Rattus norvegicus: one gene and its partners. The protein of the gene in region 5 interacts with the protein of the main gene of each other region in a pairwise test. Links are inferred from orthologs where the notes say so. Each region holds a gene or a part of one and is shown on either strand. Other genes may lie near its edges. The genes, in order: Leprotl1, Emp3, Cyb561, Dolk, Eda, Pln and Mal.

Region 1 (3,500 bases), on a different chromosome or scaffold from region 5:
ATGAGGGAAACAATACTTGCGCTTTCTCTGATGGGGCAGAGGGAATGACTGCTTCTACCACACGGAGTGGAGCTAGACTCCACCCTTCTCTCCACCTTTCCAGAGCTGGAGGTGTGACTCTGGGTGCAAGTCTGCCCTTTCTCCTCTTTCACACTTTCCCAGCTACAGAGGATAAACTAACTTCTCACACATCTACGTCAATGGTTCTCAACCAGGCAGCATTTCAGATATCCCGCATTTCAGATATTTACGTTATGATTCATAAGCAAAATTACAGCTATGAAATAGCAACAAAATAAGTTTATGGTTGGGGTCACCACAACACGAGGAACTGTATTAAAGGGTCGCTGCATGAGGAGGGCGGAGAAGCGCTGGTTTCCGGTTTTACAGGGCAGGTCCAAGGATGCACAGCACAGTTACTGTGCCCTTCTGCTACAGACCCAAGCCACGCCCTCCGACAGTTGACAGCAGGAACCAATGGAAAGCTGAGGTCTTAAAGCGCCCTCTCCATCCTAACATCTCTCACCTCACTCTGCACCAGATGTGCTCTGGCAAATCTGACATAACGCCTCTCATCTCTGGTATAGAAGCCTTCACGGAGCATGGTGACTCACCAGATGTGCCCTGGCAAACACTACAGGGAGCCCAAAGGCCGAGACGACGACACCTGTGGTGAGGAATATGGCGAGCTCCTTACAAGCGTTGCTCATGGCGTCTGTGTCGTCCACCAATCTTCTGGCTATGCAGTACGGAATGGGCGAGAGGATGTAAAAGAAGAGAACGAAGAGGGGCCAGTATTGGCTGGAAAAGAAAACGGAGTCAGTGGCCGTGCAGTCAGCCGTGTCGCCTTCCAACACTGACTATGCTCCTGTTGTAGACCAGAGGACAAGAGAGCAAACAAGATGCCCTTGAAAACAAACCCGCAGGCTCATGTGGGAAGCGCGGTCAGCTCGCCCTGTGTTCAATTACGGCACAAGAATAAAAATGTCTACTGACAAAATGCTTTGTGAACTGAAGCCCCCTCAAGACATTCACTTTAGCTTCTAAGAAGGCATACTGAAAACAAGACATTTACACAAAATCTTTTAAAGATTGGTGTCTTATTGTAATGTTAGTGCACCCATGATTCCTCTCACTGAAACCCGAGTATAGGTGGTAACAGAAGACAGTATTGAAAACCACAGGCTTAGTCTGTCATCGTGAGCCATGCTGTGCCGATGTCACTTTCTGGCTTTGGCAAGTGCAGTGGAAGAAGCCGTGTGAAAGGATCCACCTCTTTGCGATGGTTCAACAGTCTATAGAAACAAAGGCCTTTAAAGCCGGCAAGCTTGATTACGGACACAGTGGAGACTTGTTAGAGCTATCTGTTATGCTTTCTTTTTAAAAAAAAGATTTTTTTTTTGTTTTGTTTTCATTTTTCTAGACTGGGGTTTCTCTGTGTAGCCCTAGCTATTCTGGAACTTGCTCTGTAGATCAGGGCGGCCTTTGATGCAGAGATCTGCCTGTCTCTGCCTCCCAGTGCAGATTCAAGGCACGCACTGACACCAGGCTAGGAAGATCTGTTTTTATTTGAGTGTTGTGCATGACTGCGTGTATCACGTGCATGCAGTACCCGAAGAGGCCAGCAGAGGGTGGCATATCGCCTGGAACTGGAGCTACAGATAGTTGTGAGGCGGCAGGTGGGTGTTGGGAAATGAACCCAGGTCCTCTGGAAGCACTGAGCCATCCTTCCAACACAAATTTAGCCATGGTGAAACTCTACATAATACCATGTATATATAGATTTACAGTCCTTCCTCATTGCTTAAGGCTAAGCATCTTGTCACAAAGACACCCAGTCATTTGTTCTGGGTGCGCATGTTTCCACTGTGCTGGTGTGTGTGCATGTTTACCGTTATGGAGGCCAGGGAACAACCGTGGCTGCTGCTCCACTTCTGTTTGAGGAACTGACCCCAACGGCCTGGGGCTTGCCAAATAAACAGGCATCGAGTTCTCCGCCTCCCTAGCTCTCTACACTCTGCTTCTGCAGGAGGGGTTGGGGTTTTATTTTTTTTATTTTTTTTGGTTCTTTTTTTCGGAGCTGGGGACCGAACCCAGGGCCTTGCGCTTCCTAGGCAAGCGCTCTACCACTGAGCTAAATCCCCAGCCCCGGGGTTGGGGTTTTGAAATCAGCCCTCACCCTTACACAGCAGGCAGTTTCCTAGCTGCGTTAACCCTCCAGCCTCTACACTTTACACTTTACACGTGTGAATGTGTGTTCATGTACACAGTGTGGGCGTCAGAGAAGACTCCTGGAGGTCAAGTTTTACCTACTGCATTGTTGAAACAGCGTCTGTGTTTGCTGATGTGCACGCTAGGCCTCCTTGGCCTGCAGCGCTCACAGGTTCTTTCTGTCTTCACTTTCTTCTCCTCAGGACACTGGGATTGCAGACGTGTGCTCCCACACTGGGCTAGTACACAGCGTCTTGGGATTTGAACTTACGTCCTCATGTCTCTACTGCAAGTGTTCTATCCACTACACCATCTCTCACCTCATAATTTAGCTGTGGATGGGCATTTATGATGTCATCAGTTTTCCAGCTTTGCTATTACATGTATTATATATAAAATAGTATGTTTTGCTATTTACTCGGCAATATTCTCACCCAACTCTGTGTGTCTTGCAAGCAACTGTAAGTGGATTTGTATGAGGATTTCTAAGAAGGGGAGGGCCAGTTCAAGGAACTACAGGATACAGGCAAAGTAGTTCCAAGAAACGGCAACTCCTCCCTTTCTAAACCCCTGCCCGCTTAGTCCTAGCCTGCCAGAACCCAGCAGTGCCCGCCCACTTCCTTTACCTTTGCTAGTGGATTTCATGTAGTACTGAGTGGGATTTGGTATGTTTCCACTTGCTTATTAGCGGCACAATTCTCTTGCGATTTGTGGCCCACTTCTATTCAGTTTTTGAAAACTAAGTTCCTTAAATATTAATTTAAAAAGTTTTCTGTACTGGGCACAGTGATGTATACCTGGAATTCGAGAACTTGAAGGCTGGAGTGGGTTGACTGAATGACACTAGCCTGGGCTACCCAGGGAGACAATGCCTCAATAGAAAGTTCTTCCCACTCTAGGGGAAGCAACTACCTAGAGCTGGGTCTAGAAGCTGCCTGTGTTGCCTCCTGTAAAGGACGCTTTAGGCTTTGTTGGAGGATTATCGAGGGCAGCAGGACTGAGTTTCTGTCACCAGGTCATTACAGAAGCAGGTCACAGCCAAACCTCTCTCTACGTTGGCATTCTAGAGTCTTTACAAGTAAACTGTAAGTGAGGATCTTCAGAAGAGGATCATGTCAGTAAATGAATGTTTCCCGGCATTTCTTGTATGGTAGAACTCAAAGCATGCTAAACACTTTAGTAGAAGAATTTTACTTTTAAGCATTCAAAAAGAAAACAAAATGACATACTTGTATATTGGAAGGGCACATCCAAGCATCAAAAACATCAGTCCGATAGCTCCTCCAAAG
Region 2 (4,093 bases), on a different chromosome or scaffold from region 5:
GTATGCCATCCCTCTTTTACAGATGAAGAAAAGCACGGAGAAGTCATCAGTAATACCCATGATCACATAGCCAATGAGTGGCTGCAAAATCTGTGCTGTGTGGTACCCAGCTCCCCATCTAATCACCAGTCTAGCTAGTCCTCACCTCTGCAGGCTTAGGTCATGACACCCATCAGCTCTGGCCCCATTGGATGCTCACACTTCTCATCATCCAGGTCCCCACTCCTAACTTCATCAGAACTAAGATTTGGTCCGCTACCAAGGGATGCAGATATACTCGTCATCACCCACACCCGCTAACTCAGTGCCCTGAGAATAAATTATAATAGTTCACACTATAACCCTGGGACTAGAGTGCTGTGAAAATTCTAATGGCCTCCCACAGCACTTACAGTAAAATCCTGATTCCTCCATGAATTTCCAAGTGAATCCTCTGATGTCCCACTCACCACACCCTAGGCTCCCTGTGCTCCAGCCACACTGGCCCTTTTGTCTGTTCTCCAAATAGCACAGGTTTCTTCTCTGAGCCTGGGACATTTTCTTTTCTCCCTAGTGTCCAAACAACTCAGGTCAAATATCACCTCCTCCAAGAGGCTTTCCAGGATTATCCTTTTTTATTAGCATCTGCCCACCTAGTCATTATTGCTATCACTCTATTTTCTTTACTGTGTGTGTGTGTGTTATACCCACTACACAGATTAGCAAACTTGAGGCCCAAGTGAGTGAAATAATCTATCCCAGGTCACACGACCTACAAATAGCAACATTGGCATTCTTAAAGGCATTCATTAAAATCCTGCCCCTTTCCATAGATGTATACTTTTTGTCCTGCCATGAGTCGGCCCAAAGTTTGATCTATGTCACAGGGATCTGGTCTTCTCCAGATTGCTTGTGTCATCTACTCTGCTCCAAACTTCATCAAAGAGAGCAGGCATCCAGTTCAAGGAGGTAACATGTCCCACCCCAGAGCCCCAAGGACTTCTCATCTGAGTCCTGAAAGGAGGTCCCAGAACATGCCTACTGTGTGACTGGGTGGGCAGAGAATAAGGAACCAAGAATTTGTGCCCTCCCCTGACTGGAGACCTCAGCTGGGCGAGGCTAAAGTGGATATAAAAGGGTTGGGATATATTGAGATCGAGAGAAGCAGAAAACCACCAGAGGAGAGAGAGAAAGGGAGGGAGGGGGAAAGCAGAGGGAGAAGGGTGGGTATTAAGGGGTGGAAGGAAGGCGGTGAGGGAGGCGGGGGCCTCAGAGTGGAAGGAGGGAGCAGAAGGGCGGGGCAAGAGGCCCAATCGAGGACAGACTCCAACTCTGACTTCTTCAGCGACTCTCGGTAAGTTTTCAATCCGTTATTCAGATGGGACTTTATTTACTGGGCAGCATGGCACCATGGGTGGGGCACCTCAGGCAGGAAGAAGCCCTCTGCTCTTAGCTCCAGAGGAGAAGTCTGGTAATTGAAGAAGTGATCTTGGCAGCCTTTGTGATAGGAATACAGGAAGGGGTAGGGCCGCCCATGAGACTTGTGGTCCCAGCAGAGCCCACCATGAAGAATGCCCTGTGGCTTCTCCCTGAGGTCTTCCACTCCCGCCTGAGGTTAAGGGGTGCAGGAGGGCTCCCAGGGCTGGCTGAGTTCTCTGGACACTGAAGGGTGGTAGGAGGTGGTCTCTCCACTCAGACCTCACCCTCCCTACTTCAAATCCATCTCCCTGAGTGTCCGGAGCCTCGGGTCTGCAGTCGGGTTGGGTGAGGACCACAGAGACTCAGCCAGGGGCTGGCATTTCCCTGGTGCTGGAGGGAGGAGGGGATGAGTCACCCATGACTCACCCCAGGAGAAGAGAGTGAGTGAGTGAGTCAAGGATGCCTGTCCTGGGGGCAATTCCTGCTCCTGATGGATTGGAAAGGGTGTCAGTTTCAACTTTCATACGGCGACCCACATGGTCTAGAGACAGAGCTCTGAAGATGCCCCAACTCATTGTTAGTCCTGTTCATTCCCCTGTCTCCCAAAAGTCCATCTAGGATGCTCTCCAGTAGCACAGGAGTCCCGGGGCTTACCCTTCTCCCCAGGGAGGAACTGCTCAGCCTACTCCCTTTCTCCCTCACACAGAGACTTCCCGAACCAAGCCGTCTTTCCTCAGACCTTACAGTCCTCCCCAGCCTTCCTCTCTGACTTAGAGAGCCAGACCCCAGCCCTCTTCCCCCAGGATTGAGTGCTCCGACCCTTCGAAGGCTTGCCTCTCCTGCTCTGAGCCAGCATCTGGCAGCCATGTCACTCCTCCTGTTGGTGGTCTCTGCCCTTCACATCCTCATTCTTGTCTTGCTTTTCGTGGCCACTCTGGACAAGGTAAGCTTCCAGCTCACTGGGAACCCCAGCTGCAGCCCATCTCTAAGCCCCCACCTCCCTTCTCCTCCTCTTCCCTACTTCTCCATTGCCTGGGTCCTTTGCCCTCGCCTTGCCCATGCATTTGGCCCATCAGGTGCCTCCAATCCCCACTCTCCCTGACATCTTTCTGTCCTGCTTCTCACCTCACCCTCCCCGGTCTCTGTCCCCTCCAGTCCTGGTGGACTCTCCCAGAGAAGGAGTCCCTGAACCTGTGGTATGACTGCACGTGGAACACCACCGCTAAAACGTGGGCCTGCAGTAACGTCAGTGAGAACGGTGAGCATATAGTGGAGGGCAGGGAGAGGCCAGCCAGGACCAGGGTTGGGAGCCTAACCTAGGCAGTGAGAACCTGGGGCAGCCATAGGCAGCTTGTCTGAGTGGAGAGGCACTGCCTCTATTCTGATCAATCCAGAGAGGGTGGAGGCCACATGCTGTAGCTTAAGGAACGGGGAGAAAGCTCCCCAAGTTCTGAGAAGTGGAGCTAGCGGTATGAATGTGGGAGCCATTCATTGAACCTGCGGGAGAGTAGGGGAAGGCCAGAGTTCTAAGAGATGGAGTTGCCTCCCTCCAGGATTCTAAGTGACAGCCAGGGGTGGGGGGGATGCAGCTCGTCAGTAGGATGTTTGCCTGGTAAACCTCGTAATCCTTGTAACATGTTCATGCCTGAAGCTTGCCTGGCTGAACCTGGAGTGGGTAGAGTCTAGCCAGCTCCTGACCTCCCCTGTGTCGCCCCCTGTAGGCTGGCTGAAGGCAGTGCAGGCGCTCATGGTGCTGTCTCTCATCCTCTGCTGTCTGTCCTTCATCCTCTTCATGATCCAACTCTACACCATGCGGAGAGGAGGGCTCTTCTACGCCACCGGCCTCTGCCAGCTCTGCACCAGTAAGCACTTCCCCCCAGCGTGGGGGATGGAGGCAAGGAATGGGAGTAGACCACTCAAGGCTCAAAACGCAAAGCATCCTCAGGACCCCAGCCCTCTCCTGAGAGCAGCCTCTGTGACCCTCACCGGCTAGTGCAGCTACGGTTCTGAGAGGTTCTGTGGCAAGCCAGTGCTTGAGAAGTAGGATCTGGCAAATGATTTGGGTTCCAGGGATGGAGTCAGCTAAAGGACCCGCACACAAGGGGTTGGGGATTTAGCTCAGCGCTTGCCTAGCAAGCGCAAGGCCCTGGGTTCGGTCCCCAGCTCCGAAAAAAAAAAAAAAAAAAAGAACAACAACAACAAAAAAAAAGGACCCGCACATGAAATATTCTGAATCTTATCAGCCAACTGCAGTTTCTTGGGTACTTGTTCAAGGAGTTGATTTTTTTCTCTCTCTCTCTCTTCTCTCAATACTGGGGCTACAACAAAAGGCCTACAGCATGCCAGATGGGCTCTCATCTCTGAGGCGTGTGCCCAGCTCCACAGTGGTGTGTCCTGGGCATGGGTTCTCAAGCCTCTTTATTTTTTAATTGGAAATAAGTTTTGATAAATAGTCCTAGCTGGCCTTGAATGTTTTGTCCTCTTGCCTCAGCACCCTGGGTCCCACTTTTTTTTTTAAGGTCAAATAAATTGAAGCTTGAGGCAGTGGGTGGATGAAGAGGTCAAGAAGACCTGAAAGCACAACTCTATTGTTTTTGTTTTTTTTAATTTTTTGGCTCCAGGCTGCAAAGGGCTGAGTTAATCATGGTGGTTTTGGGAACATCTTCCTGGATTCCCAGAGAACCCCCCTCATTTT
Region 3 (3,987 bases), on a different chromosome or scaffold from region 5:
CGTTCTAAATGTGCAAAAGCTGGAGTCACAGAAAAGAAAGCAGTGCCAGGCACCTACAATCCCAGTACTCAGGGGCTAAAGCAGGAGGACTGCAAGTTCCAGGCCAGCCTGGGCTACACAGGGAAACCCTGCTTCAAAGACAAAAATTATTGACTTCTCCTGTGCCTTACAGATACTCAGGAATCCTTTAATAAAAATGGGTGCCCCCAAGGCTCTGGACAGAACTGCTCTGCCTGTGGCAAGCCCAGATCTGTGAGCTTTAAAGGGGGTTCTGGATTGTTCCTTTGTAAGCATGTGCGTTTGTATCATGGTCCCTGGTCACCCCTACAGTGAGAATGCCCTACCCTTCCCTGCTAATGCAGATGCTGTCACTATAGGCTGTTCCTACCTCTGTGTTTCCAGAGCACAGTGGTGGGTTATCGCTCCTCAGGCTGGAAATGGCCACGCTTGACCCTAGGTTTCCTCTGCTCCCCCAGACCTGTGTTCTCTCTCCTTTTCCCTCCCTCTCCTTTCTCTCAGAACATGATCTCACAGTGGAACCCAGGCTGGCTTCTAGCTCGACATCTCCCTACCTCGGCCTCTTGACACGCCACACTTAGTTCAGAGTTTTGTAAGGAACTGGTGCTCACGTGGCCTCTCACACGGCTGCTCTCCTTTCTTTCTGAGAGTTCGGGGTGAGGTGACAGATCTCTGGGCTGTGACAGTCAAGTAGAAACAATCCAAACTCCACAGGCCGCCTGCAGACTGGCTCCGCTTAATGCAATCACACAAGGACATAGCTACCCTCAGGGCACAACCTGTGCCTGGCTACCTGTGCCTGTGCCTCTCCAAGCCCATTGTGTTTTATTAAAAGGCAACCAGGCCTAACCTCATTATTGGTACCAGATGCACAAGCTGGACAACCCAGGGGGCCGAGCGGAGCGCAGGGAAGTTGCAGGGCAGCAAACCTGCCTTGGCCACAACCCTCCCTATCAGCAGCAGGCTTTAATTGCGTTAGCAAAGACTGGTGGGGGCAGGGATTAGAGCTTCCTTTGATGGGTAGGACGTGAGAAGACAAAAGGCAAAAAGAAGCTGGGCTGTTGGAGGGGGCACCAGGGTGCGCCAGGAAAAAAAATCACCATCAGGTGTGGCCTCTGTACCAGAACTGGCCAATAGTAAAAAAGTAAAAGAGTTTGTAAAAATAAACATCATTAAATATCATTATTTAATTTTTATGGAGAAGGGCCCCATGAATGTCAACACCGAAGGCGTCTAAAGGTTACAGCGCAGCCTGGGCCACAAAGATGTAATCCAAAGTGTGTTCCCCTATTTACTACTGTGTACAATCAGGGAGGTCTTGTCCATTCTCTGAGCTGGCCTCCTCAGCCATGGTGGGGGAGGGGGAGGGACCTTATTGGACTTTGGACAAGTAAAATGGGGAAAATATGCACAAGTGCTTGGCACAGTGCCTGCCAATGAAACAGCAGTTTAACAAAAATGGTATCTCCTTAACGTCATAGTGGCGTCAACTGACTCGTGAGGATGGGGCCACAAAAGAGCCGGGGGTACCACAGTACAAACCCCTCCTGCCCACCACCAACCCATTCCCCCATAGAATAAAAACTTCTAGGGCAAGGAAGACTGTCGGTCTGCCTTTAGTTCTTATTTGCGTGGGAGTGAGAGGTAGGGGGGAGGCTAAATCCGTATCTCCCTCTGTAGCCCAGCTGGCTTTAAACTTTCGGTCTGCCTCCGCCAGCCTCCCACATTCTAGGATCACAGCCTCTTGTCCCCAAGGAGGGACCTAAGTGGTAGTTCTAATGGTTGGAATTTTATATTCCCACTCGTACTCCAATGAATTGTGAGTTGATTAGAAAATGGAGCGTGAAGCCTGGCGTGGCATTTAATCCCATCATTCAGATGTGACTGTGAGTTCATGAAGCCTGGGCTCTGCCCACCCAGGGACTGCGGCAGGGCAGGGCATCTGTGGGCAATTCTACTTCTGGTTCCAGGAGCTCCTCCTACAAGGGGTGGGGTTGGAACCGTCCAGTACTTTCCCCACCAGATCCAAGTGCTGAGGAGTGATCAAGGTATTTAAGGGAGGTGAGAATACTTTGCCTTTTGTTTTGCTAAGAACAGGACAGAATCCAGGTGCCCGAGACGGAACTCTTCCTAAAGAAAACTGCCAAGACAAAAAGAGGAAGGACATGCCAAAAGGGTCTGTGTCTGCTGATGCAGCGCGGGAGGAAAGGTAGTAAGGGTAAGAGAAGTGACCGGAAAGGGGAGGTGGCCTGGCTACCACTCAGAGGAGTCAAAGGCGGCAGCAGATCCCTCTCTCCGAGAAGTTCCACACCTGCGTCACTTCCAAGGCCAAAGCACGGAGCCAGGCTTTCTGCCAGTCTAGTAACTGGTAATCCTGCCTGAGGACGGTGGGATACGGGAAAAGATCCACCAGGCCCGCACCTGAGCGCAGGAACCAGCCTCGGGGACAGTGGCTGCAGTCGTGGCGAATGCAGTTTGGTCCACACCCACCCACTTTGTTCTACAGTACAGCCACAGGCCCCTAGACTTGAACTAGGGTCACCAGCAGTCCCCATTCTAACTCGGGCGGACGCGACCCGCGCTCCCCCGGCCGCCTTCCCCGGTGCCAGCAGCAGGAACCCCCGCGTCAGGGGACAGGCGGGGCAGTGCCCCGGTCGATGCGGGCAGGTGCGCGCGAGAGGGCGGCTCGAAGCCCAGCCTCTCCTGGCCCCAGTCTCCGCCGCCCCTCCGCGCGGAACTTGTCCCCGCCGCCCTGTCGCCTACCTGGTCCCGCCGCCGCCAGGCCTGCGCGCGTCCCCGCGCCACGCCGCGCCGCGCCCCGGCCGCTCGGCAGGTTCCACGGGCCTCGGCGCGACGGCGTCGCCATGGAGACCGTGCGGCGGCGAGACGCCGGCAGCGCGCGCGAGGAGGTGACCGTCACCTGCGCCGGAAGTGCCGCCTGGCGCGGCCACTCGGGAGGGCACCGCGGCTATACCGACCCGCACTCCCGACCCGAGCTCCAGCAGCTTCGGGACCGGCGTGCGGAGAAGGCTAGCAGCGCGGGTTCGGCGCCCGGGTTCCCGGTCATTTAGCCTCTCGCTCTCTACTCTCGCCTCGCCAGAACCCAGGAGGCCGCTAGGTGTCAGGCCCGGCCTGGGCCCCAGCTCAACTCGGGGAACCCAGGGTCACCTCTCCCAGCCCTCGTGGGCGGGGAGGGCACTTTACATTTTACTGGAAGGCTGGGAATAACCCTGCCCTTCCCGCCTCTGCACACCCACCAGCCACATCGACACTGTTATTGGTACAGTTTGCCTCCCTTTTTTTTTTCCACTCCAGGATATAGACAGAGACAGAAGAGACACCAATCTAAGGGGTAGATTCAGTCCTTCCAACTTTTCATTTAAGGCCTAGACCTGATGTGCCAAGGTCTGTACTTAAGACTGTTGCCAAGAGCAAAGCTGGGAGTTTAGCAGATCCTGGCCCGCTATTCAGGAAATGCTACGGGTAGATAAGCGCCCAGCTCAGACTTCCTACAAGCTGGGAACAAAAGGTTCTTTCCTGTTGGATGTTTGGCCAGACTCACAAAGAGTGGGAGAGAAAGGGGGTATTTTACCTTGTGAGGAAAGCATGGCTATAGGACAGCCCTCCCCCACGAAGGCAGTAGCCCTGTGCTGGGAGCGCCCCACAGGTAGAAGACAGAACTGGGGAGGGGGTGCCTTCTTAGAGGGTGAGTGTGCTGTCTAGTGTACGGTTGAGATAGAACCAAGAACCGGAATTACGTTAAGGTAACTCTTCATCCGACAGAAGCTAATGGACATTTTAAGGTAAGCAGCTGCTTCCTTGGTGTGCTAACCGGCAAACAGCAGGCAATAAATACATGCTTATAAACTAAACATGGAGCTGAGCCATTTCTCATTGTTTGGTGGGTGTATTTGGGCTTCTGGGAGGAAAAGGAGGGACCGATTTGGCAAGATGGAATCTTGTTTAAGT
Region 4 (4,011 bases), on a different chromosome or scaffold from region 5:
TGTGCGAGAGCCAATATGCCCATGTGAATGTTGAAAGAAAAGTCTGTGGACTCAGTTCTCTCCTTTCACCTTTGTGGGGGTTCTAGGTATTAATCTCAGGTCCTCAGTCTTGTGTTGCAAGTATTTGTATCCACTGAGCCATCTCACTGTCACCCAGGCTGAATACTTTAGATACTTTACACAGCTCCTCTCGATAAAGACTTCCAGTATCCAGAGAGTCAGCCTGTCATTATTCCTATCTTAAAGACAGAACAATTGAGGCTTAGACTCTCTTAAGGCCATACAGTTAAGCTGTATGGCCAAGGATTCTGATCAGATTTATTTGACACAGAATACCCAAGCATTAAGCTTTCTGTTCTGCTGCCTCCAGGGTGTGCTCCAGCCATGCCCTACCCAGATTATAAAATGGGGGCTCTGCAGCACATTCAACTTCCCTGAATTGGTGTGTATGCCTTTAGCCTTTTTCTGTATTTTAAATATCAGCAACAATAAAACCAGGAAAGCTTTGCTTCTTTATTTTAAGTCTGAATCAACTTTCTGGCTTCATCTTCTGGGAGGAAGCTAAATCTGCCTTTCATCCCTTAGTTCTTGGTGTCCAAGCGGCTAGCTGCTGTGAGGACCATTCATTCTCCCAATTTCCGTTCCCCCATTACAGCTGCTATTCGGTACTAGGCCATCAGCAAAATCAGTAGGTAGAGGGGCAACAGGAGATTGTCTATCTGAGTTGTGTATGCTTCCAGAAGCGACACAGTGCTGATGGACCCCAAAATCCAAGCATAGCTGTAGTTCAGGTCTACTCCACTGTCAAAGATTAGGATCAGAGCCACAGAGATGATTTGTGCAAATATAGATGTCATAGTTCCCTCGAATGTTTTCTTAGTTCCAGGCCAGCGGATCTCCCCCATGGTGCTGCCAAATATGGAGGCCACAGTATCGCCCACACCCACAGCCAGGACCCCAGCATAGGGGACCAGGGCTCTTGCTCCTCCGAGGCTGCCCTTCTGTGCACAGGGTCTGGGGATCAGCCAAATGGGAAGAGACATGCCCAGAAGCAGGTAGATGTGCGTCAGGATGAGGGGCCCGCTGTCCCGTTCATCCAGGAAGAGGGACAGAAGGCTGCGCAGAGTGTGACCCAGGGGCTTGATTCTGAAATAGCGCACATACTCCAGGAAGATGAAGACGGCCAGACACACGGTGGCGGCCACATACAGCAGTGGCCGGTCAAAGATGATACCGGGGATGTAAGTGGCCACCACAATGAAGTGGAAATACTTTCTGGTAATGGTAGGAGCCTTGTGCTTCTTGGACTCAGAAGATGACCGCTTGGCATTCTGGTACAGCACCACCAGGCAGGCCATGGTGGCCAGCAAGGACCAATAGGCTAGGAGGTAGATGCGAGTTTCTGTGTAGAAGAGGAACTGAAGAAGCCAGAGCAGGGGGTTCCTACGAATGAGCCAGTGCAGCCAGGGCAGAACCACACCAAGGCCCAGCACACAGGTCATGAGGTGGAAGAAGATAGAAGAGGCCCAGGTGCCCGAATCCATGAAGACAAAGAGGGTGCTGAAAAAGACACCCATGAGCACCATCCCCACCACCACCACCAACAGGAAGAAGTCCACTGGGTCCCCCTGGCTTTCAGTCAGAGAGCGCTTGATGAGCTGGTTGAGGACGAAGCTAATGCCACCCAATACCAGCAGTGCCTCCCCAGGAGTGAAGCAGCGGGGCAGCAGGTACAGCAGGATCATGTTGAGATAAACGAATATTAGCAGGACTTCCAGGACCTCGATCACCTCGCCCACACTGAGCGAGTGCTTCATAATATAAATGATAATACCTCCGGCCAAACCCGAGATGGCACAAGTATTGGTGGGCACCGGGCGAGTAATGCCCAGTGCCAACACCGAGGAGAAGAGGGCCACTGCCATGCCAGTGGCTGCAACCACAATGCCGAAGCGCTCGAAGTATGGGTTCCCTGCAGTCAGGCAGCGCTCCTTCATGACCAGCCCAAGCAAAGGCATGACCATGGAGGCCGGTAGTAAGCCACTGTTCGCGGACATTCGGAACTGGAAAACAGCATTCCCCTGCTGGAGCAGCCGGTCCCACTTGTACTGGACGTAGAAGGCCTGCACTGCTAAGGCCACGGCGCACCAGGAGTATCGGTCCCACACTGCAGCGTGGATGCTCAGCACCACTGCGAACACCACTGCAGCCTCCGCCAGCACTGACCCGCTCAGCGCAAACCCAGACTCCGGGGCTTGGGGAGGGCACTGTCGGGTCATGTCTCTAGGCCTGGGTATCTTGGGAGAAGAAGCTTGGTGACTAGGGACGCCTTGGCTTCTGGAGCCCTCAACCCGCCAAGCTGAGGGGCAGCAATTTCACCCAGGCAGCGACCTTCTCCAGTTTCCAAAAGAGTGCTTCACCGCGGGCCACTCTGAGGCCTGGGAGCCGGCGCCCAGTCACCCTCCACCGCTTTCAACCTACGGTGTAGCAGATGTTTGCACTCTTCACCTCTTACAGGCTCCACTGCCACCGCCGCGGACTCGCCTCACACCAGGGCAGCGCCATCTTGACAGCCCCTTCCTAGCCACGCCCACCACCACGTGATTGAAAACCCAGGCCCCCGGTCTGGCGGCGCACGGTCACGTGGGTGCAGCGTATAGGGGCGGGGCTGGGACGCGCGCGCGAAGATGGCGGCTGCCGCCGGTGGGCCGTGTGTGAGGTACGGAGTGGGGCGCAGCGAGAGGGTGGGGGGTGGCCGTGAGGCGCGGGGTGGGAGCTGGGCCGGAGTTGGAAACGGGACCCAGCGGCAGTGACGGAGACGGGCCCGGGCTGGGTGGACGGACACTTGCCGGGGAGGCGGTTAGGTCCAAACCGTTCCCGCTCGCGGGGCTGAGGACACTTTTTGGAGCGGGCCGGCCGCTCTCCTTTCTTCGTGGTCCCTATGCCTCCTGTCTTCCCCATACACCCACGCTTCCTGCACTACGCTCCCTGTAGGCACTGCGGGATATTTCGGGGTCTTCTGGAAGATCCACCCCACCGCGATCCCTGCCTTGCTGTCCCTGTGCCCTGCACCGCCTCGGGTGTGCCTTGCCCACGCCGCGAGTTCTTCCCGCGAGCATCCTTAGTTCCCGCCTTCTTTTATTTTTGACTAATGCTGATATTGATTCAATCAGCAGGCATGCCTTCATCTTCCAAATGATTCCGGGTACTGTGCCAGGGTTCGGACACAAGATGAATTACCCCAAAACAAACATAGTTCTCACGGAGTTCGTTCGTTCTTTCTTTCTTTCTTTCTTTCTTTCTTTCTTTCTTTCTTTCTTTTCTTTCTTTCTTTCTTTCTTTTCCTTTCTCTTTCTTGTTTTTCTTTTTTGAGGTAAGATCTTTTGTATCACGTGCAGGCCTTGAGATCCCTGTTTTCTTTGCCTCCTTGGTGCGGAAATTACAGACATGGATTGCGAGAGCCCCACTTGCCTTTAAAGAGCGCTTACTAGCGCCAGACCCCGGGAAAGTGCCTTGCAGGCCTTATCTCATTCATTTCCCACAACTAGGAGACGCACCTCCTGTTACACAGGACTAAGAAGTCCAGTTCATACATAGTCAGTCCCCCTCGTCTGCCCCTCGTGATAATCCCCATGAGGATTCAGATCGAAGGCTCTAAAGCCTTAATCAGCCCTCTGTATGTATCCACGTTATAGATGAGAAGTGTCTTCACCTCTCCTCCTCCCCTAAAATGTAAACATTCCCTGTTGCCCGGAATTGACTCTGCTAGTTTTATTTGCTATTGTTCCCTGCTGAACCCTTAAACACCCAGACAAACATGTAAATATCACATTGCCTATCTCTCTCTACAGTAGCCTCTTCACCGTCCACGGGCAGCAATTTCTTTGGAGTTTTCTGTGGATAAAGTGTGATTCTTGTGGGGGCCAGTTTGGTTTTCTTCCCCCTGTTGTTTCATGCTAGGCCTTGTATCCACAGCTATGGAGAAATACTTGTATGAAAACTTTAAAAAAT
Region 5 (4,229 bases):
TTTATATGTTTGTTTCTTTGTTTACATGCTAAGGCTAATATTGTCAAAAGAAATAAGTTGAATCTGCGATAAAATTCCTTCAGTGAGCTAAAATTCTCCTGAAAGTGAAATTCAAGATGAATAAGGAATACATGGTTAAACTTAGTCTTCCCAAAATTAGAGCAGAACAAAATGACACAGATCTGAGCCCTTCATTTTGTAAAAAGCCTACTATGGAGCTCCAACCTGTTGTCCCTTCATTCCCCCCCCTTCAAAAAAAACCTTCTCAGCAGACACTATATTATGGAGGGGTGTGTACTAAACTGGAAGATGGGAGAGCACCTTCATCCTAGTTTTGACTCAGGCTATGATATCTTGGGCCACTTACTTCTCCCTTGAGGCCTGTATGTTCTCCAAAGGAATCAGTAAAATAGACTCAGGTAGTACCTTACAATCTGGAAAACACAAATTCCAATTAATGCTAATAAATGTAAAGAACTAGTATTGCTTTGATTGCCCCAAAAGACTAAAGTAGACTAAAGGACAGCAGAGAGGAAGCTGTGCTGAAACACGTAAGCATATCTGCTACACCTGGGGCAAGCAACCGAACGGCATTGCAAAGCTGTGAGTCCCATGCCGTCACAGAAGCTAGAATGCTGCTGTCCTGCCAATCTATAAACAGGGCTCTGTCTTTCCTGATTGCTCAAAATCCTTGAGCACCATTTGAGTAAAGAAGTTAAATTTCCTGATTGTATGTATGTATGTATGTATGTATGTATGCATGCATGCATGCATGTATGTGTGCATGGATATATGTATGTGCAGAATATCAATGTGGAGCTGCTAAGTACCTCTACTGGGATGGGGGGGGCAAATAAAAGACCCAGAGTCTCAATTAATTCTCCTTTAGCCCCAGTGTTTAAAGTTTCAAGTATGAGACGTCTGTCTGCTGATTCTCTTCTTTGATAAGCTGTTAAATAAGTTTGAGTGTCTTTGACATTTTAGGTCTGGGGCAATTTTACCAAGCACATTGTAAAAGAAAAGAAAAGGAAGGAAATGGAAGGAAAGAAAAGTGTCAGTCCTGACAGAGTATTGTTATGAATGTGATGGCTCTAAAAGTGTTCAACCCGTTAAGTCAAAGTAGCACAAACACTGTTTAAAGAGTTGTGACAATAACTATGTATGTAGCACCAAATACAGAAGGCTTCCTTGCCTCACCTCAAGTAAGTTACTTACACAACTTGCCGTTTCCTCCAGAAGTTACAAATTCACCATTAGTCTTTAACCACCTCAAAAAGATCCTTGGATGCTTTGCCTAAGATTCAAGTGTGAGACATCTATGGGAACCACAAGAAGGCTTAATATCAAGTACACTAAATTTGCTTGAATAACGAGTTAGAAAAACAACCAAGATAAAGGTTTGCTAAAAGGGATACAAACACTCTAAAGATTATCAAAAGCAAAACAAAAATCCAACTTCCTGTTCCAAAGGCAGCATTAATGAAAACTCTTCACACCCACTGCACCCAACTCCATCCACAAGAGTGTCAGAACCGGCATGCAAAGGGTGAGTTTTATTTCCATAGATTTTTCAAATTGCTGTTCAGAAGTTGTCTAGCAAGACGGCATATTTCTACCAGAATTCCTCAGGGGCACTGATCCTCACTAGAACGCAGAGGAGAATCGGTCTCAAATTGCAGGTGAAAAAGCTCAGGTCCTGGTCAGCGCACAAGAAGCCAGCGCTGAAAGTACGGTTAAAAGTTGTTTCAACGGGCGTGGAACAGTTAGTACAGCTGTTTACAGCTCCAACTCCAAAGAGGAGCCTGCTAGTGCTGGAATCAGCCCGGGACACGAAGAAACAAGCACCACGGGCAGAGAATCTCACCAGGGGGCACGAGGGGCCAAGCTGCTCGCCGTTAGACGGCCACGGGGGTGGCGCAGACACCTCCGCGCCCGGATGGGTGCAAGGCAGGCCAACTTTTCGCGAAGCAGCCCACACCCCCCCGGGGGCGGCGCGTGCAGGCTGGGCTTTCCAACTCCACGGGACCCGAGAGGGTCTGGATGAGCCAAGCTAGGAACCGAGGACAACCTGCCCTGGACAACCTCTCCCCAGCACTCTGGCCCACTCCCAGCTCCTGCCTGGAACTTGGCTCTGAGTGGCAGAGTCCCCTGAGCCCTGAGGCCCAGGCCCCCGCCCAACCGAGCAGGGGAGGGGGCCTCCAAGGCCGCCGCCCCTCCTAGGTGACTCACCTGGTGCCGGTCCTGGGAGTCAGGGGGGAGTGGATCTTCTCCTGGTTCCAGGGGCTGCTGTTGAAAGGACGGCTGCCCGAGGTGGCGGGTGATGGGACCCACAGGGTCGAGGCTCCCAGGGCTGCTTAGGGTGCCAGAGGTGCCAGGAGCACCCGGGCCACCGAGGCGGGACTCGGTTCCCCGTTCCCGCCGCAATTCGGACCGCAACTCTAGGTAGCAGCACAGCGTCAGCAGGTGGAGGGCCAGCGAGAGGCCAAAGAAACCCAGGAAGAGCCGGCAGCTGTTCCCTTCGCCCGCCCGAGCAGGGGCCCCGCGACAGCCGCAGCCCTGGCTGCCCCGCTCCCTTGGCGCTGCAGCAGGCAGGGGTTCCCTGCGCTCTACCTCAGGGTAGCCCATGGCCTCCAGAGACAACCACTATCTGAGGCCCGGGAGCCACTGCCTCTGCCTCAGTCCTTCACGACCCCTGACAGGCGACTACTGTCCTGCCATCGGCTGGGGGCTGCAGGGACCCGTTCCTGAGCGACGGTGGCTGGGCGGGACAGAACAGGGAGCAGCCGCATGTGCAGCTCCACTCCGAGGGGTGGGAAAGGGAGGAGGAGGGGCGGGCGAGAGGGGCGGCGCGGCCCGAGAGGGAACGAGGGAGGAGGTCCTCACCTACCCCGCCCCATGCCTCAAGGGGCGGCCGGGACGCCCAACCACGGGCCCGCCAGGCCTGGCCGCCCCGCCCCCTGCCGTTCCACTCGGGCCTCCAGCCGTGGGGCGGGGCCTGGGGGCGTGGGGGTTCACCTCTGCCTGGCAGCCCCACCCAGCTCTTCCCGCTTGCCCCGTTGCAGTTGGTGAGTGCGGCTGTCGTTCAGCTTTGGACTCCACCCCGGTTTAACCCTTCAGCGCCGCTATGGGGGAGGGCGGGAGGGGGAGGCTGAGAAGAATTTGGGAACCTTGGAAAGAACGTGGAGCAAAGAAAAGGAGGCAGAAACTAGCATTAATAGAAATGTTTGCAATTAACTGCAGTTGCTAATAACATCATCCAGTACTTATCTGTTGCTTTCAATCTTCAAAGCGTTTAACAGACGTTAAACTAATTAAAACAGTTCAGGGTTTGGAATGAAACCATGCCTGCTGTGTTTGCAATTCAATGGCTCGCCAGAAGAAAAGGAGACCTAGGAGCCTGGGAGCCAAACAGACTGGGAACCTGGCTGCCCCACTCCCAGAATGAGTCTTGGGACACAGTCTGAGCATAGAGAGGGTGCCTAGCGCCAAGTAAAACTGAAGTGATGCTGTCCCTTGAAGGCTAAAACGGTTTCCTAGGATTTCTTGATATATTAATTCATTCAAAAGATATGCATTGATCCCTTTCTCAGTGCAGAAAGTGCTGTGTGAGAGAACCCGCAGCCAAAAGTTTGTCTTCTTCCAGGGCTGCAGAAGTTTTGGAAGAACTCGAGCCTTCGAGGAGCAGGTGGGGAAACTGAGGGTCATGATGAGGTGAATTTTTACAGGGGTGGTCCACAGAATGGCCAGACACTAATGGCATCTGTACTCACAGGCAACTGTTCTGGCCTCTCCACCCTTCCCATGCTTCCCCTGGAGTACTCCCTGGGGTAAGTTCAACAAGTCAGCCAAATGTTCCAGATGTACACTGCTGCAACTGCAGCATCTTCAAAAGCTGCACCAATCAGAAACAGGGTCAGAGGGGAAAAATGGCAAATGTCAGAACAATAGACCTGGAAATGAAGGATGGAAAAGATTAGTTGTCAAGAGTCACAATTGACAAGCATTAGTAGTCTCAGATTTTAGAGAGCTAACTAGCTGTAGCAGGACAAGCATCCACTGTTTTAGCCAGTAGGTACTCTCATTTCCGTGTAATTGAGAAATGAATAATTATCCATTTTTATTAACTTGAAGCAAGTATAGTAAAAGCCACTGAGAAGGCTCGGTGATGCACCAGAACACTTAAGGCTAGGCCTAAGACGTAGGCTGATAAGGGAGAAGAAAAACAAAGA
Region 6 (3,500 bases), on a different chromosome or scaffold from region 5:
GTCTATATGGATTATCATGTACTTTCAAGATATTAAAAACCTGGTATAGCATATAACCAGATCTTCTAATGTGACTGATTGCTTTCCTGCTTTGCCAGAAGATTCAAAATAACCAGAGGCTAAGCAGTACTGTTGTATGTACGTCCACCCTCTCATGTTTGTCTTAGGAAATCTTGATTTCTACTTTATTTGGGGAAAGTGCCCCCCACTCTGCCCTTTACAACACAAAACTCTTTATAATGACAACATTTTATAGTAATAGCATTTAATTGTATAGCAATTGCACCAAAATCATAATCCCATCTGAATATAGGCCATTCTTATTGCATTTTATAGATAAACATTTAACTACTGAAATGTAAAAGGCATTAAACATTAAATGTTTGATGAGAAGAACTTATGAGTTGACAGTTGGTGTGGTAGTGAGAATGTAAAGGGCCAGGCGCTTTTCACCTTCCTTTTCCTCTCAGCATGGCAACTACGAACTTATGCACTTGTACATAATTCCGCAGACCATTCACCAGTGCTTCTCAACCTGTGCGTTGCAACCCCTCACGCAAACCTTTGTCTACACAAATATTCGCAATTCATAGTGGAGGCAAAATTACAGTTATGGAATAGCAACAAAAATAATTTTATTGTTGGGTTTCACCACAACATGAGGAACTATATGAAAGGGTCATAGCATCACAAAGGGAACATTGATTTAGAGATTATGTCATCCATGTTTTATAGTTTCTGTGATGGGCACCCTCACCCCCAGCCTTTTCTGAAGAGACGCCTATTAACGTGGGACTCCTTTGTGGGCTACTCTTTGGATAATTTCTGAAACCAGACATCTTCCTTTCTATCAGGGATTCAAACAGTTCGAATCAGCATGCCTTCAGCTGCTCTGTTAGGGACCAAGGTGAATACTGATGCGCCGTATCTTCGTAGTAATCATTATGGAAAATATATCTAATTATAACTCTCCTAATAGCTGCTGTGTTGGTAGAATGCCTTGAGCTGGACTTAACACTGTGGGAGTGCACAGGAGAGGTGTGAACTGTGGGAGTGCACAGGAGAGGTGTGAACTGTTTTGTATTGGATAACTTAAGTTAACTAAATTTTGGTGAATGTTTTCCAATACAGTTTTTAGCTCCTAATCTTTTAGTATTTATTGAGAGATATTAGGAATTTAGAAAGGGAAATTGAAACCGTGATTAGTAAGGATTGTAAAATAGAATCTCTAGTTTTTAAGTTAGGAGAGCAAGCCTCTCCTCTCTGGGGGATGCAGGAAGAGAGCTGTACCCCAGCACAGCTGTCTGGTTTGTTGTTATCATTTATTATCTGGAGAAGCCCGGCACAACCCAGGAGATCTGTGCCAAGCCAACCTTCGGGTGAGGTTCTGATGTTTTAGTGATTATCGCAACCACACAGTAAGATGTTCTTGCTTGCTGGTCAAACCCTAGAGAGAGCACATTTGTGGTTAATGTAAATGTGCTTGAATTCCACAATTAGTGGAAAAATTAGTGAAGATTTTTATATGAGAATATGCTTTTACATTTCCCTATTTGACTCTCATAAGCTTAAAAATAATTAGTGTTTAGAAAAAGGGCACAACCTTTTTTCAAGGTATGTGTTCTGACAGTAATGACCATGACTTCTGAATCATTGTCATCGTCATGGTCATCGTCATCGTCGTCTATATGAGGACCCAGTGAGCTATTTTGAATAAGAACACTTCATTTAAATTATTATTTTCTACTTTGTGCAGACCTGAAGAATATTTAGTTCCTATAAAAAAAAAGTGGTGGCAACGCAGTTTAAATTTCATTTATTCCCCAAACTGAAGCTATAAGTTGAACTTTCTAGTGCTGGATATAGAAAGTGAACTTTTTTTGTAGTGCTGTTTCAAAATTAAAACTCATACTACAATGTCAGAAGTATTTAGGAAAGACATTTATGAGCCACACTGAGGAAACGGGCAGCTACATTGTGCACACTTAGTCGTGGTAAAGTTTACAAGATCCAGCCGATGATCACACTGGCTGCCATCAGTCTCACTCTTAATCGTGACCTTCACGACGATGTCCAGCAGGAAGGCGGCGGCACTGCCTCCCTCGTGGTGGAGGGCCAGGTTGTAAGCTGCGTTGGCATGGTGCAGGTCTGCGGTGGCGACAGCTTGTCACAGAAGCATCACAATGATGCAGATCAGCAGCAGACATATCAAGATGAGACAGAAATTGATAAAGAGGTTCTGGAGGTTCTGACGCGCTTGCTGGGGCATTTCAATAGTCGAGGCTCTCCTGATAGCCGAGCGAGTAAGGTATTGGACTTTTTCCATGATGCCAGGAAGACAAAAGTAGGAAGACAAGTCTTTTTTAAGTAGTCAAGAGAAAGATAAAAAGTTGACAGCAGGCAGCCAAACGCGAGCTGTCTCCTTTTAGGAGGCCTGGAATGTAAAAATAGTAAAAGGATTAGGTTCATACTAAACCCATTCTCTGGATAGATATGCAGTTTTGTACCGGTTCATGTTCCTCAGTGCTGTATTTTATCACTGTCTACAGCCCCAGCCTCTCTGCTCCTCTCATATGTTAGCACTCGTCCTGGGTGAGCGGAGGGGCTGGAGGTTTGGCACCTATTACTTGATTCATGGAATGCTTCTTTGGGACGGTTTCCTTGTTTGTTTGTTTGTTTTTTTTTAAAACTGTTTCTCTGTAAACACAATTGGTATGAACATTTATTATTATAAATGTTTCGGAACTAATCATAACAAGATGCATATAGTAACTTATATCTTGGATCTTAGTTTTAGTTTGAAATAAAATGGTTAAGTGAAAAGTTAAATATGAAGTAAACAGGTTCTAGCGGCTTGCCATTTTCCTTTATGGTTTATGCTTTTGTGGAATCACACAGTGCATTTAATCGTATACATATCCTCCTGACTCCTCCCAGGTACAGCCTCCTGGTTAGTGCTACTCTAAACAACAAGGTGGTCAAGTGCTGAAGACCGCCAAGCTCGGGAGGAGGCACAGTAAGGGCTATGATTCTGAACTATCCCAGACAGTTCCAGTTTTCAGCTAATCCTGATGGCCAGGGGTGGGGTTGTGTCCCCCCCTCCCCAAGCTCTTAAACCACTGCTGACCAAATAAAGCTTATTAACAGAAAATTAGTACAGGTTTAAAATAAACCAGTGAGCTGTCTAGAGGCAGCGGCTGCTTTGACTTCGAGATTATTATTGTTTATCACTAACATTTTATTTATTTATTTGTTTGGACACAGGGTGTTGCTAGGTAATCCTGACTAGCCTAAAACTTTCTACACAGAACAGACTGGCCTCAAACTGGAGGCCTCCTTTCTGCCTTTGCTGACTGAGTGAAGGAGTTCCCAGGGCTGGTACTTTTTTTTTTTTTTTTTTTTTTTTTTAAGAATACTGTTTACAATCAGTTTTAAAACAAGAATATAAAATAAAGTGCAGTTATTTACTGTCTAGAGACAACAAGGTCTGATTTATTGAG
Region 7 (3,500 bases), on a different chromosome or scaffold from region 5:
GAAGCCCTTTCCTGTGATCTTCTGCCATAATTGCCCACCACGGTGAGAAACCTCCTTTGTCAACTTCCATCAACTCCAGAGGGTTTTCTGGCAAAGGAGCTCCACTCACTGCCACCAAAGGTCAGGGTGAAAAAATCTGAGCTTCAGAAACAGATCCCAATTAGGACCAGAGAGGGGAGCATGAGGCAGGCCGGCTGATGTACAGGAGGCTCCAAGATCAGGTGTCAATTTCCCATGGATCAATCCGGAGAAGACTGTGAATTGAGGTAGCTCTACTTTGAATCTGGTCCAAGTGCCACTTTATTGGTTCCAGCCCAGTGCCCCTAACAAATGAGAACCTCTGGTTTTTGATTCTAGCACACCTGACTGGCTGGGCATGCGCATGTCTATCCAAGCCCCAAAAGAAGATGTGGGGATAGAATCAGCTCTGGAGTGGATAAGTAAATAATGTGAAAGGTCTACAATGGAGTACTATACAGCACCATAAAATGCAATCTCCATCTCCATCCAACCACACTGATGACTCTCACAAGCATAAGGTTGAAAGACAGACAGATAGACAGACAGACACACAGAGAGAAACAGAGACAGAGAGAGGCTAAGCATAAAAGAATGAGCCTTGCATAATTCCACCTCAAGAGATGGGCAAAACTGAATTGGCTCTCTCTCTCTCTCTCTCTCTCTCTCTCTCTCTCTCTCTCTCTCTCTCTCTCTCTGCGTGTGTGTGTGTGAGTAGTAGTATTCATAGTTGTAGTAGTAGTAGTAGTAATTCTGGGGATTGAATCCAAGGGCTTGAACATTCCAGACAAATGCTCTACACTGACATATACCTCAAGGCCTATGTCCTAGTTCTTTAAAAAACAAATTGTTGAAAGTAAAAATATCTGTGTTTCTGAGGGAGGGTATGTGCATGTGAGTGCAGCGCCCATGGAAACCCAAAGAGGATGCTGGGTCCTCTGGACCTGGGGTTATAGGCAGTTGTGACCCACTGGATGTCATGCTGGGAATGGAACTCTGAGAGAGCAGTATTCTTTCTCAACTGCCGAGCCATCTCTCCAGCCCCAAGTGTCTTATTTCTTAATTATAGGAGCATTCATCTTCTGAAAATTCATCAGTACATCTGCTTGAACCTGTGCACTTGTCTGGGTGAAGGGTGCTTTTTGATAAAAAGTCAGAGAGGAAAGTTGGGCTGTAAGAGAGCCAGGTAGCGTTCAATCTGTTCAGTGGGAAGGGATTTTAACCCCATCTTCCTACATGTTTCCATCATGTACTGACTCAAACCACGTCTAATCTACAGCACACTGTTGTCCTGAAGACGTTTAGGGGAATTGTTGTCAAATGCTTGGATTTCTGTGAACTCAGAAGTCTTCTGAGTTAGGGAGGGGGAGGTCTAAGGTGCTTGTCCGATGGCAGATGAAACTGTCTCTATAGATGGCAGCAGAGAGGATGGATCTATGCTGTTTTCTGGAAACTCCATGTTGGGCAGTGTTCCGTGGCGTAGGACAACTGAAGAGGACAGGAACAAGATCCTCAAGGTGGCCAGGTTCATGTAAGTTGCTTAAGGGGACATGCAGCTTCTTTAGGGTTGCACAGTGTCCCATAAGGATGATGCTTTGAGGAACTTTCTGCCCAGACTTTCCCTCTAGATCCAGGAATAAGCACACCACCCAACACCCATCCCTGTGGACTGCACCCAACCTCTGTTCCACACTTTGAGCAAATGACACGGGTGCAGGCGTCTTTGGGATTGGCCTGATGCACAGCTCAATTTCTAGAAGCTGGAGAAGCACCGTTTCTAACTTTTGATCCTCATTTTTCATATGTCACCCATAGTTAGAAATAAGTTTTATATTCATGATTCTGAGTTAAGTGCATCAATGTATTGCTCCAAGGGTACCTACCACTCAGAAAAACATCTTTCTGAAATAACACAGCCTCTTGCTCCTTGTCATTTGGATCTAGCCCATTAGAAAGAAAACCCATTAAAAAAAAAAAGAAAGAAAAGAAAACCCATCCTTTCCTCAGTGTTCCTTGTCTTGACTGAATGTCTCTGTGGAAATGCTCAAGGAAGGTATGAGATCCAAGTGGCCAAACTCACTGCTCGAAACTGATACTAAAAGCCTGGGTAGGTGGTCAAGACCTTGGCTTTGACCCTTGCCTATTGTGGAAACAAATTCAGGCTGCCCGTCCATCTGTGATGTGGGTGTGACAATATCTCACAGGATTGCTAGTGAGGGTCAGATAAGAACACTTGTTGGGTACTTAGTGGTAGTCACCCCTCAGATGTCCACCCATGCACAGCCAGTCTGCCATGAGCTCCTGTGTCTACTGAACCTTGGACCATGCATCCCTGAGAAGACAACCAAGGGACTTTATGTCTCCTCTCTACAGCAGGCTGTGAGAGCCGCTTGCTCCGTGTGCTGCAGGGCAGGCCGCAGTGAACTTACCACTGCAGCGATGTTCTCATGGTAATGCCTGTAGGTAAAGCCATCGAACATTGTGATGGTGGCCAGGGCTTCCAGGACTGAGGCACTGAGGTAAAACAGGGCAGCCACACAGTGGTAGGCTGCATCCTGTGGAGGAAAAGGGTTGTGTCAGAGATGAGAAGGAAGAAACACCCCAACCTCGAATTACCTGCTCCCATCTTTGTTTCTGACCACTGCCTTTGAATCATACCCATACCCCTTAAGTCTACCAGCTTAATCGAGGTTTGGGGGCTGTTTGCTGAGTTTCCTTTCCCTGGGTAGATCACACAGGGAGCCCTTTAGTGGAAGAGGATGCTGTTTTCTCTGAGGTTATTACAGAGGGAGAGTTTATAGTGTGTGCTGATTGCTCTTCATTATTAACTTGAAAGGTTAGAAACTTCTCTGAGAGACACCTCTGGGTGTGTCTTTGAGGGTGTTTCCACAGAGGCTTAACTGAGGACGGATGACTCACCCTGAATATGAATGGCACCATCCCATGGGTTGGGGTCCCAGACTGAACAAGGAAGAGAAAGCTAGCTGAACACAAACATTCATCCTTCTGCTTTCTGATTGCTGGCAGATGAGATTAGCACCTCACCTTTCCTGCAGCTAACCCTTGCCCACCATGTTGGACTATACCCATAAACCATGAGCCACACAAACCCTTCTGTAAACTATTTTTTATCAGGTATTTTTCCATAGCAACAAGAAACAGAACAAATACAGGATTACAGGTAGAAATAAAAACTGGTTCTGGACCCCAAGACAACTGCCCATGCTACAGTCCTGGCTTGGATGCAGGCTCTTTGTCCAGGGAGAGAAGTCTGGGCCATTTCCACTGCTTTCATTTTGTTGTGTTGGTCTTATTTATTTCTTTTGGCTCCTGGTATATTTCAAAGCAAAAAGGAACTACGACAATGTTCTGTGTGGCTGTAATTTGGAAGTGATTTCAAAAGTTCAAGTAGAAAAGCCAGGGAGAGGTATCAGTCAAGTGGCCTGACCCTCCTTGGTTAATAATAAGCAAATCCCCTTGTA

The links.
Region 1: the proteins of Eda (region 5) and Leprotl1 interact in binary tests that used the Homo sapiens proteins (3 or more experiments, as listed by UniProt). The two-hybrid records come from large-scale screens. The link is inferred for Rattus norvegicus from reciprocal best matches to the Homo sapiens genes EDA and LEPROTL1.
Region 2: the proteins of Eda (region 5) and Emp3 interact in binary tests that used the Homo sapiens proteins (3 or more experiments, as listed by UniProt). The two-hybrid records come from large-scale screens. The link is inferred for Rattus norvegicus from reciprocal best matches to the Homo sapiens genes EDA and EMP3.
Region 3: the proteins of Eda (region 5) and Cyb561 interact in binary tests that used the Homo sapiens proteins (3 or more experiments, as listed by UniProt). The two-hybrid records come from large-scale screens. The link is inferred for Rattus norvegicus from reciprocal best matches to the Homo sapiens genes EDA and CYB561.
Region 4: the proteins of Eda (region 5) and Dolk interact in binary tests that used the Homo sapiens proteins (3 or more experiments, as listed by UniProt). The two-hybrid records come from large-scale screens. The link is inferred for Rattus norvegicus from reciprocal best matches to the Homo sapiens genes EDA and DOLK.
Region 6: the proteins of Eda (region 5) and Pln interact in binary tests that used the Homo sapiens proteins (3 or more experiments, as listed by UniProt). The link is inferred for Rattus norvegicus from reciprocal best matches to the Homo sapiens genes EDA and PLN.
Region 7: the proteins of Eda (region 5) and Mal interact in binary tests that used the Homo sapiens proteins (3 or more experiments, as listed by UniProt). The two-hybrid records come from large-scale screens. The link is inferred for Rattus norvegicus from reciprocal best matches to the Homo sapiens genes EDA and MAL.

Annotation. Positions count from the first base shown.
Region 1 is NC_086034.1:64,750,648-64,754,147, reverse strand, and holds part of Leprotl1 (leptin receptor overlapping transcript-like 1), read right to left. Parts: coding exon 3,441-3,500; intron 2,673-3,440; exon of another isoform or gene 802-2,672; coding exon 615-801; intron 1-614. UniProt on the Homo sapiens protein: Negatively regulates growth hormone (GH) receptor cell surface expression in liver. May play a role in liver resistance to GH during periods of reduced nutrient availability.
Region 2 is NC_086019.1:105,525,466-105,529,558, reverse strand, and holds the start of Emp3 (epithelial membrane protein 3), read left to right. Parts: upstream 1-1,293; 5' UTR 1,294-1,333; intron 1,334-1,342; exon of another isoform or gene 1,343-1,450; intron 1,451-1,490; exon of another isoform or gene 1,491-1,573; intron 1,574-2,104; 5' UTR 2,105-2,263; coding exon 2,264-2,341; intron 2,342-2,553; coding exon 2,554-2,656; intron 2,657-3,119; coding exon 3,120-3,260; intron 3,261-4,093. UniProt on the Homo sapiens protein: Probably involved in cell proliferation and cell-cell interactions.
Region 3 is NC_086028.1:91,385,637-91,389,623, forward strand, and holds the start of Cyb561 (cytochrome b-561), read right to left. Parts: upstream 2,801-3,987; 5' UTR 2,782-2,800; intron 711-2,781; exon of another isoform or gene 573-710; intron 1-572. UniProt on the Homo sapiens protein: Transmembrane reductase that uses ascorbate as an electron donor in the cytoplasm and transfers electrons across membranes to reduce monodehydro-L-ascorbate radical in the lumen of secretory vesicles.
Region 4 is NC_086021.1:33,955,142-33,959,152, forward strand, and holds Dolk (dolichol kinase), read right to left. Parts: upstream 2,540-4,011; 5' UTR 2,280-2,539; coding exon 669-2,279; 3' UTR 501-668; downstream 1-500. Other genes in the region: nucleoporin NUP188, read left to right, coding at 2,688-2,719. UniProt on the Homo sapiens protein: Catalyzes CTP-mediated phosphorylation of dolichol, the terminal step in de novo dolichyl monophosphate (Dol-P) biosynthesis. Dol-P is a lipid carrier essential for the synthesis of N-linked and O-linked oligosaccharides and for GPI anchors.
Region 5 is NC_086039.1:69,117,391-69,121,619, reverse strand, and holds the start of Eda (ectodysplasin-A), read right to left. Parts: upstream 2,801-4,229; 5' UTR 2,626-2,800; coding exon 2,230-2,625; intron 1-2,229. UniProt on the Homo sapiens protein: Cytokine which is involved in epithelial-mesenchymal signaling during morphogenesis of ectodermal organs. Functions as a ligand activating the DEATH-domain containing receptors EDAR and EDA2R. May also play a role in cell adhesion.
Region 6 is NC_086038.1:33,178,994-33,182,493, reverse strand, and holds the end of Pln (cardiac phospholamban), read right to left. Parts: intron 2,435-3,500; 5' UTR 2,327-2,434; coding exon 2,168-2,326; 3' UTR 253-2,167; downstream 1-252. UniProt on the Homo sapiens protein: Reversibly inhibits the activity of ATP2A2/SERCA2 in cardiac sarcoplasmic reticulum by decreasing the apparent affinity of the ATPase for Ca(2+).
Region 7 is NC_086021.1:135,320,924-135,324,423, forward strand, and holds part of Mal (myelin and lymphocyte protein), read right to left. Parts: intron 2,574-3,500; coding exon 2,448-2,573; intron 2,010-2,447; exon of another isoform or gene 1,432-2,009; intron 1,205-1,431; exon of another isoform or gene 1-1,204. UniProt on the Homo sapiens protein: May be involved in vesicular trafficking from the Golgi apparatus to the cell membrane. Plays a role in the maintenance of the myelin sheath, and in axon-glia and glia-glia interactions.